Nothobranchius furzeri: one gene and its partners. The main gene of each other region encodes a partner of the protein of the gene in region 2 in a complex. Links are inferred from orthologs where the notes say so. Each region holds a gene or a part of one and is shown on either strand. Other genes may lie near its edges.

Region 1 (3,500 bases), on a different chromosome or scaffold from region 2:
TGTGTGTGTGTGTGTGTGTGTGTAAGACAGTTTTAACATACATCACTGAACTCCAGGGGAAGGTTCTCTGTGGGCTGCAGCTCTGCTGCACTCAGGTACATGTCTTTGCCTGCAGGTGTGAAGTGCTCCTGCTGGGGGGGCTCCTGCTCGGGCTGGTACATGAGTGGAGGCAGAGTGAGGTGGAGTGGACAGCGAGGATTGTCAGACTGACCCATGTGGACAACACGATCACACGGAACATCTTTAATTCCTGGACAGATCTTAAAAAGCACCTGACTGCTGTCCTGGTAGATGTCTGACAGTCAGGCTGTCAGGGAAAACGCCTCAGACACAAGTTTAACTCAAGGAGAGAAAAAGATGGATGTTTTAGGCTCAGAAAACATAAGGTTAGTGCAGATGCATGAACTAACCTGGGTAATAGCCTTTTGTTGAGAAACTTGTAACTAACTTTAATTATGAAACATTGGCTGCTATAGATGTAACATTCTGATCAGTGAGCTCATTCATGTACCCATGATGACACTACACACTTTTCCAGCTGGAATAAATCACAACAGCATTTTATCAGTGACTATCACATTACAAAATTCCACTTCCATATGTTCCACTCTATTTGTAGAAAAGTTTGACTCACTGGACGATTCAGGGGTTAGACAAAAGAGGCTTAGGAAAGTATGTTGTTCCTTCCAACTGAAATGATTCGTCCCTTTTACAGTTTGGGGCAACAAATCAACAGACCACAGGAAGGAGTTCATTTAGGCTCCTTTAAAAACGAACAGCTACTGCAAGCTGCTGCTTTAGATCAGGGCCAGGGTTCAGAGAACAGAACCAGAAACAGACAAAGTTCTCATAGTAAAACTAATGGTTAAGGATACGTGAGAGACAGTGTCGAGCCAAGGGCAGGCAGGTGTTGGTACATCTGGTTCCCTCCACAAAAGAGACGCATTTTTCATTTACTGTTTTTGCATGAATCTGCAACAGAAGAGGTTGTAAACATTTGACTCAACAGTCACACTAGATCATTTAAAACAATGCTTTGGTTTTCCTAAAAATGACTCATGGCAGCATTCAAAAATGGCCGAGTTACTCATCCTAGCTAAAGCAGCCTCTGAGTGAGGGACAGGACTATTAACATTTCATGGCACATTAGGAGGGTTTCCACTATCGGAACTTCAGGATAATTTTATCAGATCTTCCCAGCATGTGCATGTCTCCACTTCACCATTTAACGAATCAGTAAACAATAATTCAAGGAATTTAATTAATTAAACCATTTTATTGATTATTTTCAGCCCTACTCATAATCCTGCCCCCTACCTATTAAACTGAAATAATAGGGGTTCTTCAGTATTAAGCAGAGCACCACAAACTCACGGATGAAAACTCAAGATTCAGAGGATAAAGGGAGAAATTGGTTGACTGCATACAGAACAGAAGAGATGGGGAGCTTGTGTGTTTATGGCACACTTTAACTTAGCTGCTCTGTAACCGTGTTCCCACCTGAGGAGCTCCTTCTGTCAAAGCCTGCCTCCTCTCCCTGAGCTGTCGATGAAGAAGGGCTTCTATGCCGTACCGACGACGATATCGACGGAGAGCTTTGAGCTTTTTAAGGTTTTCCCTCTCCTTCAAGGACAAACCTTCTGGTCCTGTCAGGAGGCTACTTCCTGTCAAACATAAATGAATCAAACAGCAACAATGACAAACCACTTCGAACACATTTAATTACAAAGTACCGTAAGTTTACCTAAAGTCTCGTGCTCCACTTTCCGATTATGAAGATATGTGCGCTTTTTCTCCTTGAGCAAATGCTGCAGGCGTTTGAACTGATCGATGTAGAGGGACTGGAGCCTAATGAGCTTTTCTCGAGTGATCAAGGCCACTTCCTCTGCTGTGTAAACTCCTGCATGTCTGCAAATATACAAGAAAACCAGAATAAGAATGAACAAAATCATGATATTTCCTGTAGAAAAATGCAGACTTCAGACACAACTGATCTGAAAGCTTAGCCTGGCCTGCCAGACTCCTCCTCTGTTTAATTCTGCACAGAGAAAGGGTCTGGGAACTCTCCTATTCAAATAACCCCACCCCCTGAGAATTCTAACCGAGCCAATCGGCGCTGAGTAGCGTACGTCACACACCACAATGCCGAGTTTGTTATAAACATGGCGACTGAAGCGGAGTTCGCTGCGGCTCTTTCCTCTGTTCTAAATGACTGGTAGATAGAAGTAGTTGAAGCGCTAAAAGCCTTTCTTCTAAATAAAAAAAACTGATGTTTGCGCTCTCACCAGACGCCTTTTTTACTACAGCTAAATAAACTGCAGCGGCGCGTGGTACAGTCAGCATTTCCGTCTTTATCTGACTGGTTATTTTTGAGCTGCCTAGTCCCGCCCCTCATGTGCGTCTCTGCCTGTGAGTTATCAGACTCTTTCTCTGTGCAGAATTAAATAAACAGAGGACGAGTCTGGCAGGCCAGGCTACTGGAAGCTTCCACAGACTGAGTGACTGGTGTCCGAGCTGAAGATCTTTTTAACGCTTCTTTTGTTGCCGTTTTACTTAAATAATAAATCTCCAGTTCTTGAACATTTTTGTTTGTCTGGATAGACAAGTTTGTCAGTGTTTTCATTATAAAATTTACTTCACCTCACGCTTAGATTACTGCAACTCATCATCACCCTGTCCTTTTTCTGCTCAACCTATTCCACATTTCCCGGGATCCACTGATTTCCCCCCTTTCCTTACATTTTTTAATCACAATTTTTTTTTCTCATTTTAAACATATTATTTAATCACATTTTAAAAATCTTTTTTATAATTAAATTTTTTCTTTTTGTGTAGCACCTTGTAATTTTTATCTCGAGAGGCTCTTTATAAAAGATTGTTTTCTTTCTTTCTTTACTTGGAGAAATTTTTACATGTTTAGCATCCTACCTCATAACAAAAGAAAATAAGCAATGGGTCTATTTACAAAGAAATCCAATCAGTAGAATAAAAATGTGAATTCAGATTGCTGTAGGGTGAGATTTTCATCTTACTTTAGTGGATCTTCATGATCACTGTCAACGCTGTCTGCCTCGCTGTCTGGATCTCCTCTCCACGTCTGGTCAAGAACCAGGGGTCCCTGCTCCTCTTCACTCAGACTTTCTACATCTGTCAAAACAGAGAAGGTGGGGTTTAAAACAGAGATAATATATTAAAACATGCAATATGATGATTCATTGGACTAAAGAGTAAGCGCTTTTACTTGTGTCTTTCCAGGTTAAATCAAGACCTGTTACCGAGAATGCGGCTGGCTTCAGCGCGTCCTCCCTCTAAACTGTATGCCTCTGCACGGTTAGAGCAGCTAAGCTGGGATAACAAAGCCTCTGGAGATGGACCAGCAGAGGACTTTCTCATCTGAGCTTGCAAAGCCATGGCGTTCTTATGGGAATGTTCTGCACAGAATGTCACTCTGGAGAACAAACATGGGGGAAAAAAAAAAGATGTTGGAGTTAAAGGTCTGG
Region 2 (3,622 bases):
GTGTGGTTCTGGCTCTGATGGGAGTTCTGGGGCTGACTGTTTTCTGTTCCTTTAGTTGGAGATCTGTGGATGTTTTCTGTTTGCCCATAACTGAAGAGGAGGACGAGCGCGAGGTGGGTCCACTTCCTGTTTTGTTCTGGTTCCTTTGAACTGATGTAGTTTGATTGAAGGTGGGAAAAAAAGAAATGAATGGTAATGTTGGTGTAAATATGTAGCTGTGAGTGAACAGGGACACCTGGTGGTCAAAATTATGATTCATAGGAAGAAAGAGCTGCATGAACATCTGGATCTGCTGTTAGTTTGGATGGTGGCAAGTCCAGAAGTGGTTTACATTTTTTATGTTTTTATCTCGGTGTGAAACAAAATGATGACGATGAACTGTTGGATTGTTGTGATCCTGCAGGTGGAGGACCTCTCAGATGCAGCCTTCATCCAGCTTCATCAGCCCTACGAGGACCAGGAGCGGTCCCGCTGGACCTGGATGGCTCTGGCTCCTGCTAAGAGGAGGGGCAGCAGGTGAGTCCTGGTCCAGATCACCGTTCCTGCTATGTCCTTCTGCAGGTCTGACCCTTCACTGTCTTTCAGGTCCTATAAATCGGTGGATGGACGGACCACACCGCTCCTGTATGGGACGAACCCTCCCACCCCACAGCCCGCGTCCCCAGACCCAGGTCACTGCCCCAGTCTCCATGACTACAGCCATGTGCCATCACCCATGAGTCCAGCCAGCCCTGATGCGTCCTCCAACCCCCACACACCCTGCTCCAGGGACTCGCACCGACTGCTGTCCAACGAGGACACACGCTGCTCGACGCCTGACTTCACCTTTGAGGAACGGGTGTGTGGCACCACCTATATCAGAACCAGTTGTTTTCTAGAAACTCCGCCTATAGCTAAGCTTTATCATTTAAAATACACAGTGTGTGATTGATATGGGGAGCCTGTCTCCTCCCTGTCGTGGGTCCCCAGAAGAACGATAAAATGAATGCAAGTCAACGGGGCTAAAAAAGCTGTTTTCTAATCCGCTTTGCCTTACGCCCTGGATCGCTTATATGTTATACTTTGTTTTAAATGCATAGTAATGTGTGTTTCGACCACGCCTGTCAGGGACTTTTATGTATAAGCTTGTTAAAGTTTGTAATTAGCATGACTAAAAATCAGACATCGGCACGTCACATTAATGACGTCTCCACAGAATCCTCTCTCCCCTAACGTAGCTGCTAGGTGGCCAGATTTATGGTGGTTCTTTCCTCCTGACAGAAAGACTTGAAGGTTGCTGAACTTCCCATTTTCCTGTTTTTCTGTGTCATGTGTGATGATGTCACTTTTGTGAAGCGCATTCACACAAAACCTAAAATGGCAATTTCCCCCGTTCCAAAATAAACACGTTCTCTGTATTAAAATGTGTCTTTAGAATTCACGGACATCGTATTTGACACCCATAGTACATAACAAGCAAGAATAGAAAATAATGTTTTTAGCCCTACTGACTTGCATTCATGTTTTAGTTGTTCCGGGGAAATAGATGGGCACGACCTACGCCTGGACACGAAAATGCACCACAAAGGAATGAAGAGCGCTTCTATTTTGCGCCCTTGTTAATCTACTTTCTCGCTCACGTCAGCCGCAAAGCACGCCGTCCAGAGATCGTCATGGCGTGTGCTCATTTGTTTGCGACTAAGTCGAAACCAAAACAGGAGGCAGGCCAGTAAATTCTAACAAAATGGACATTTTTCAAAGTAAATACTGATAAGTGACAATTTTTGCGTATCTAAATATTTGAGAGATGAAAATGAACACACAAACACACACTCCTGCAGAGAAACATGGCGTTTCTATAATTTTAATGCAGTTTTTACAGCAAAAAGATGTAATAAATGTGAACACAAACAAATACGTTTCATACAAAGCATTGTACACAACCACAAACACTAGTTATTTACTTAATAATTTAGAAACAGCAGCAGGATCAGCTCAGTTTTTGATATCAACAAGTGGGGTCAACTGGTTACACACACACACACACACACACACACACACACACAGCAAGGGCACAGGGGTGGGGGTGTTTAAAAAAAACCGTAGGCGTGAGCAAAAGGGCTCATCAAAAATTCTCGCCTGATGTGAAAAGAGGAGCAGCGGGCAGTGTGCGAACTTTGAGTGACGTGGCGCTTTGCAGCTGATGTGATCTGGCATGAGGCTCCCTATTAGGAATGATTGTGAAATATGGAATCATTAATGTTTCAGTGTCAATTTAGGCTTTTAACACTTTTTTTTTCTCCCCACCTTATTTTAAACCTTGTGATACGGACATATTTGTGTCTTTAATAAAGTGAACTACTACCACCACCATTTCTACTAATACCACACACACACACACACACACACACACACACACACACACAACTTCTAACAGGTCTGAAATCCATAATTTCAAACTACAAATGTTTAGAAACAGGAAGAGGCTTCATCTGAGATTAGAATCATGTGTTCTGGGTCTGTTTGGATGATCAGAACCTGACCCTGCAGCACTAGACCAGTCCTGATGGGTCCTCAACCCAAACCTGTGGTTCGATCTAACTCTCACCATCTAAACCTTCCATGTCATCCCAATAAACGCTAGATATCCGAACTGGAGGATCCTTCTAAACATGCCTCCTTCTAAAATGTCTTATTGTTGCACGATTTCAGACGGTGGCACCATGGGAGCGTCGCAGCTTCCCTCTTCAAGAAGACCCGGCTCCCGAGCCCGAAACCGACCACATCAGGCCCAGAATGCGCACCATCTCCGGTTGCCGAGCAACAGCCTATGCACGTCTGGACTCGGACGACCCTGAGCTGGCCTGCGACGACGACAGTGTCTCCAAGTTCCGGGCCTCCGCCCACCGATGAGTGATGGACAGGCGGGCCTCGGCTCGGCCCCTCTCTGGCATTAACAAGCAGAACCTCAACGCTGACAAGGATGTTAAATGGGTTCCTGTTGTTTGATATTCAAACATCAGTCTAAACTTTTCACAGTTTTTAGTGAACATTATGGAGATAGAAGCCTTTCCCCACACTTGTTTTTGTCACAAAACAAGATAAATGTTAAAAAAAACGGACTATAAAACAACACATTGCAGGAAGTGATCGTGTAGTAGAGGCTAAACAATGTACATGGGGCTTAGTGGTGTTTCAGCGTCGCGTGTACACTTGTAGCGCACTATGTAGCCGACTCCTCCAAACGTGGCCAAAGGGTGTTTTCTATTGACTAGTCTGCTTGTAAATCCCCATGTACATTTTTAGTGGAGTGACAAAAAACAAAACATGAAAAAAAAAAATCTCCCTTTCCCTCTCCACCAGATGAGCAGGTACATTTGAGATGTTGTTCCTCCTCCTCCCTCTAGAGGTCGCCTGAAATCACCAGAGCACTTCTTCTACTGCCAAGTGTAGTTTTGCTGGTTTGCTTTGTTTGTTTTCTCATTCCCGACACGTTTTGTTAATCCTGTTCTGTCTGCTCAGTAATACATATTTTGTGTTGTAAATCATTCCTGTTGTCTCTGGAGTTCCTGTTTGACCCCCAGGTTGGCACCATACAGGCCAGGAGCAGTGTTTGGGGTTTATTTAGAAGCACTTGCCTGGC
Region 3 (2,902 bases), on a different chromosome or scaffold from region 2:
ATAAATAAAAGTTGTTGCAGGTAAATAAAAGGGGGGTTTCAGTTAATTTTTTCCGTGCTCTTTAACAGAGTACAGATGTAATCAAGACTTTTTTTGTATCTTTTTTATTATATTCAGAGAATTGCAGCTTCACTGACAGCATACAGTTAAACAATATAAAACAAAAATGCTTTAGAAAATACTTACCTATTCCATTCCCTGGTTTGTGTTAAAAAAACAAAATCAAGTTATGAACAGATGGTATTTTAACTGCAACTTGGGTCTTTAAAAAAATAAACAAGCGTCCAATTCATAGACAGCCCAACAAGAACAACTAAAGACATTCCTTAACAGACAAAATAATTCTAATTGGCATTGTGCGAAGGAAGACGTCACTTCCTTAAAACTTGCACATTTACTTGTTGCAGCCATTTAAAAACAGCTTCAACTAAAGAACTGAGGCCATCTGTTCCATAATTTAGGTTAAAGCTGACAAAACGTACTATTTCAATGGTGCAACATTGTCATTTTAAAACACATGACACTTTTAATTTCTAAACAGATCAAGTGAAGACAGTTGGGTATTTTCTCTGCAAGCTGCAATCAGTCCTGTACACACACCGACAGGAGAAGAAGAAAAATCCTCTGATCCAAGAGTTGAAGGGTTCGTGGGGTATTCACTACCTTCTCATGCTCACAAAATACATATTAAGTGTTTTTGGACAAAAGTCTCAGACGAGGAGCCTGAACAATTCAGCCCCAATCTGGCTTAGGATATGCACGTGTGTGGCTTAATAATGCGATGAGTTCAAATGTGAACATGTGTAGGCTCCGTGCAGGAAGGAGTCCGTTTGTAAATAAGACAGTCAATAAAGGACGAAGAACTGGAGTGAAACCCGACCAAATGATGCTGTCGATGATGGTTAAAAACAGTTGGGACTTGGTGGAGAAGGTTTCCAGTTCAGGCATTCTCACTGGTCTCGACCGTATGGAGTTTTACCAAGTGGTCTGGCTTGTTGCCGTTGCTGTGGTGCTCCCACATTTGCAGGTAGAGCTTCTCCAGGTCCATTGTGTACTGTTTAGTGTTGAACAAGGGGCTGCAGATCCGCTGCTTCCAAACGCGTGCTCTGATCATCTTAAGGCTGTGGGAGGAAAACCTATTTGAGCCAAAGTTCCTTCAGAAAAGAGAATTAAATGATTTGACAATTATTTTCTTACTACTCCATGTCGGAGCCCAGCTTGACTGCTATGTCTTCATATTCCTGGCGACTTTGGGCAATCAGCTCAGGGCAGCCCAGACAGCCGAGTTGTGAGGCAGCCACGCGGGAGGCAAGAGTCTCACCTACAGGAAGGTTAATGCAGATTTAATAAACAAGATTTGTGAAAATGCACTCTAAACGTTTGCTCTGAAGTTGTTAAACACTTGAGTAAGTTCAGGAAGCCAAGAGATGGTTTTTCTTAATTCCCACCTTCCTCACCTGGCATGGTTACCATGGGAGTTCCAGCCCAAAGGACATCCATGCCTGTAGTGTGACCATTGCACAGAGGGGTGTCCAGGCACACATCAGCCAGCTGGCCTCTCCTCACATGCTCCTCCTTAGGCGCCACAGGAGAGAAAATGATGCGAGAGGCAGGCAGGCCCATGTTCTGAGCATACTGCTGGATGTTGGGCTCGCCAACAGCAGGGAAGCGAAGAAGCCACAACACACTGTTGGGCACACGCTTCAGGATCTGCAGCAACAGGATGAAAATAGACTAAACACAAGCTTATGGAATTAAGTTTTGCTCCCAGCTGAATATGGACCACTCAGAACAGTAGGGCTGAACGATTTTAGAAAAAGATTGAATTGCAATTATTCTAGCAGAAATTGCGATTTCGGTTCAATTCACGATTTTCTGCAAACAAAGTCCCAAAATTAGCCTGCCAGGGCATCCTGTAGATTAAGTGAAAAGATGGTCTAGATTCTAATCTAGTAAACAACTCATTCCCATTAATATTTACTGTTTAATCATACAATAAAAAAAGTTAAAGCTACTTATATTTTGTCCCATTCTTATCTTTTTGTTTATTTTCTATTGTGTTTGTGCTTGTGATTTTTATCTAGAGGAGCTTTATTAAAACAGTTCTACTCCAAAAATGCATGGAGGAAATCTGCAGGTAGAAATAGCTTTTAAATGTATTAAATAACAAAAATTGCAGTTTTCCCTGCATTACCGAGGCAGGCTGGCTGCACGTTTTTGAAGCCGTCTGATAGTTTTTCCTCACTAAAACGTTTGTTCCGTGAGAGACGCACGCATTCTGACACCTTAGCTTGTTTGAACTAACGTGTGCTGTCAGAAACATTCAAACCATTTTTAAAAGAGAAGTTGAACTTTTAAGTCAACTACAGTGCGCGACTCCGCGCTCGCGCTGATGAAGCATAAACCAAGCTTTAGAAGTCAGCCTGAACCTGCTGATGTGGGAGGAGTCTTTCTCTCCCTTACTCAACTGCGTTCTCTCTCGTCCCGGGCTCGCCATTATTATGGGCTCTAGCAGCGCTGTGTGTGGAAACATAAAACAGGAAAATAACCTGAACATGCAGCTCTGTCAGCTGTGGAGCTGGGCTCCCCCCTCCCCCGCGCTGGCCTTTGCCGCCGCCATAACACAGGGGAAAACCCCAGATGTAAAAAAAAGTTACACAACTGATCCTGGATCAGTCAAAACCGCTAAAACCGCAGCTTTGACGGTCATGTGATCGTACTGTTTGAAATCGCAATTTCAGTCCAAAAACAATAGATCGTTCAGCCCTGTAGAACACCATCTGTTTGACATACGTTGGCCCACATCTGGAGGGTAGGAGGGTCAATCTTGTACAGCTGGTTGAAGTTGCAGTAGACAATGGAGTCCTCTGGGAGACCATACTGGGAGCGGGTCGTCACTACA

Evidence for each region. Proteins that work in one complex are often made in the same cells at the same time.
Region 1: KAT8 regulatory NSL complex subunit 1 (region 2) and kansl2 share a complex: the UniProt entries of both Homo sapiens proteins name them as parts of the NSL complex. The link is inferred for Nothobranchius furzeri from reciprocal best matches to the Homo sapiens genes KANSL1 and KANSL2.
Region 3: KAT8 regulatory NSL complex subunit 1 (region 2) and ogt.1 share a complex: the UniProt entries of both Homo sapiens proteins name them as parts of the NSL complex. The link is inferred for Nothobranchius furzeri from reciprocal best matches to the Homo sapiens genes KANSL1 and OGT.

What each region holds. Positions count from the first base shown.
Region 1 is NC_091755.1:57,561,627-57,565,126, forward strand, and holds part of kansl2 (KAT8 regulatory NSL complex subunit 2), read right to left. Parts: intron 3,449-3,500; coding exon 3,276-3,448; intron 3,148-3,275; coding exon 3,033-3,147; intron 1,909-3,032; coding exon 1,745-1,908; intron 1,665-1,744; coding exon 1,501-1,664; intron 973-1,500; coding exon 876-972; intron 813-875; exon of another isoform or gene 676-812; intron 296-675; coding exon 42-295; intron 1-41. UniProt on the Homo sapiens protein: Non-catalytic component of the NSL histone acetyltransferase complex, a multiprotein complex that mediates histone H4 acetylation at 'Lys-5'- and 'Lys-8' (H4K5ac and H4K8ac) at transcription start sites and promotes transcription initiation.
Region 2 is NC_091756.1:53,928,245-53,931,866, reverse strand, and holds the end of KAT8 regulatory NSL complex subunit 1, read left to right. Parts: intron 1-55; coding exon 56-113; intron 114-403; coding exon 404-516; intron 517-585; coding exon 586-838; intron 839-2,691; coding exon 2,692-2,892; 3' UTR 2,893-3,122; downstream 3,123-3,622. UniProt on the Homo sapiens protein: Non-catalytic component of the NSL histone acetyltransferase complex, a multiprotein complex that mediates histone H4 acetylation at 'Lys-5'- and 'Lys-8' (H4K5ac and H4K8ac) at transcription start sites and promotes transcription initiation.
Region 3 is NC_091741.1:100,483,413-100,486,314, reverse strand, and holds the end of ogt.1 (UDP-N-acetylglucosamine--peptide N-acetylglucosaminyltransferase 110 kDa subunit), read right to left. Parts: coding exon 2,794-2,902; intron 1,711-2,793; coding exon 1,449-1,710; intron 1,322-1,448; coding exon 1,198-1,321; intron 1,122-1,197; coding exon 941-1,121; 3' UTR 501-940; downstream 1-500. UniProt on the Homo sapiens protein: Catalyzes the transfer of a single N-acetylglucosamine from UDP-GlcNAc to a serine or threonine residue in cytoplasmic and nuclear proteins resulting in their modification with a beta-linked N-acetylglucosamine (O-GlcNAc).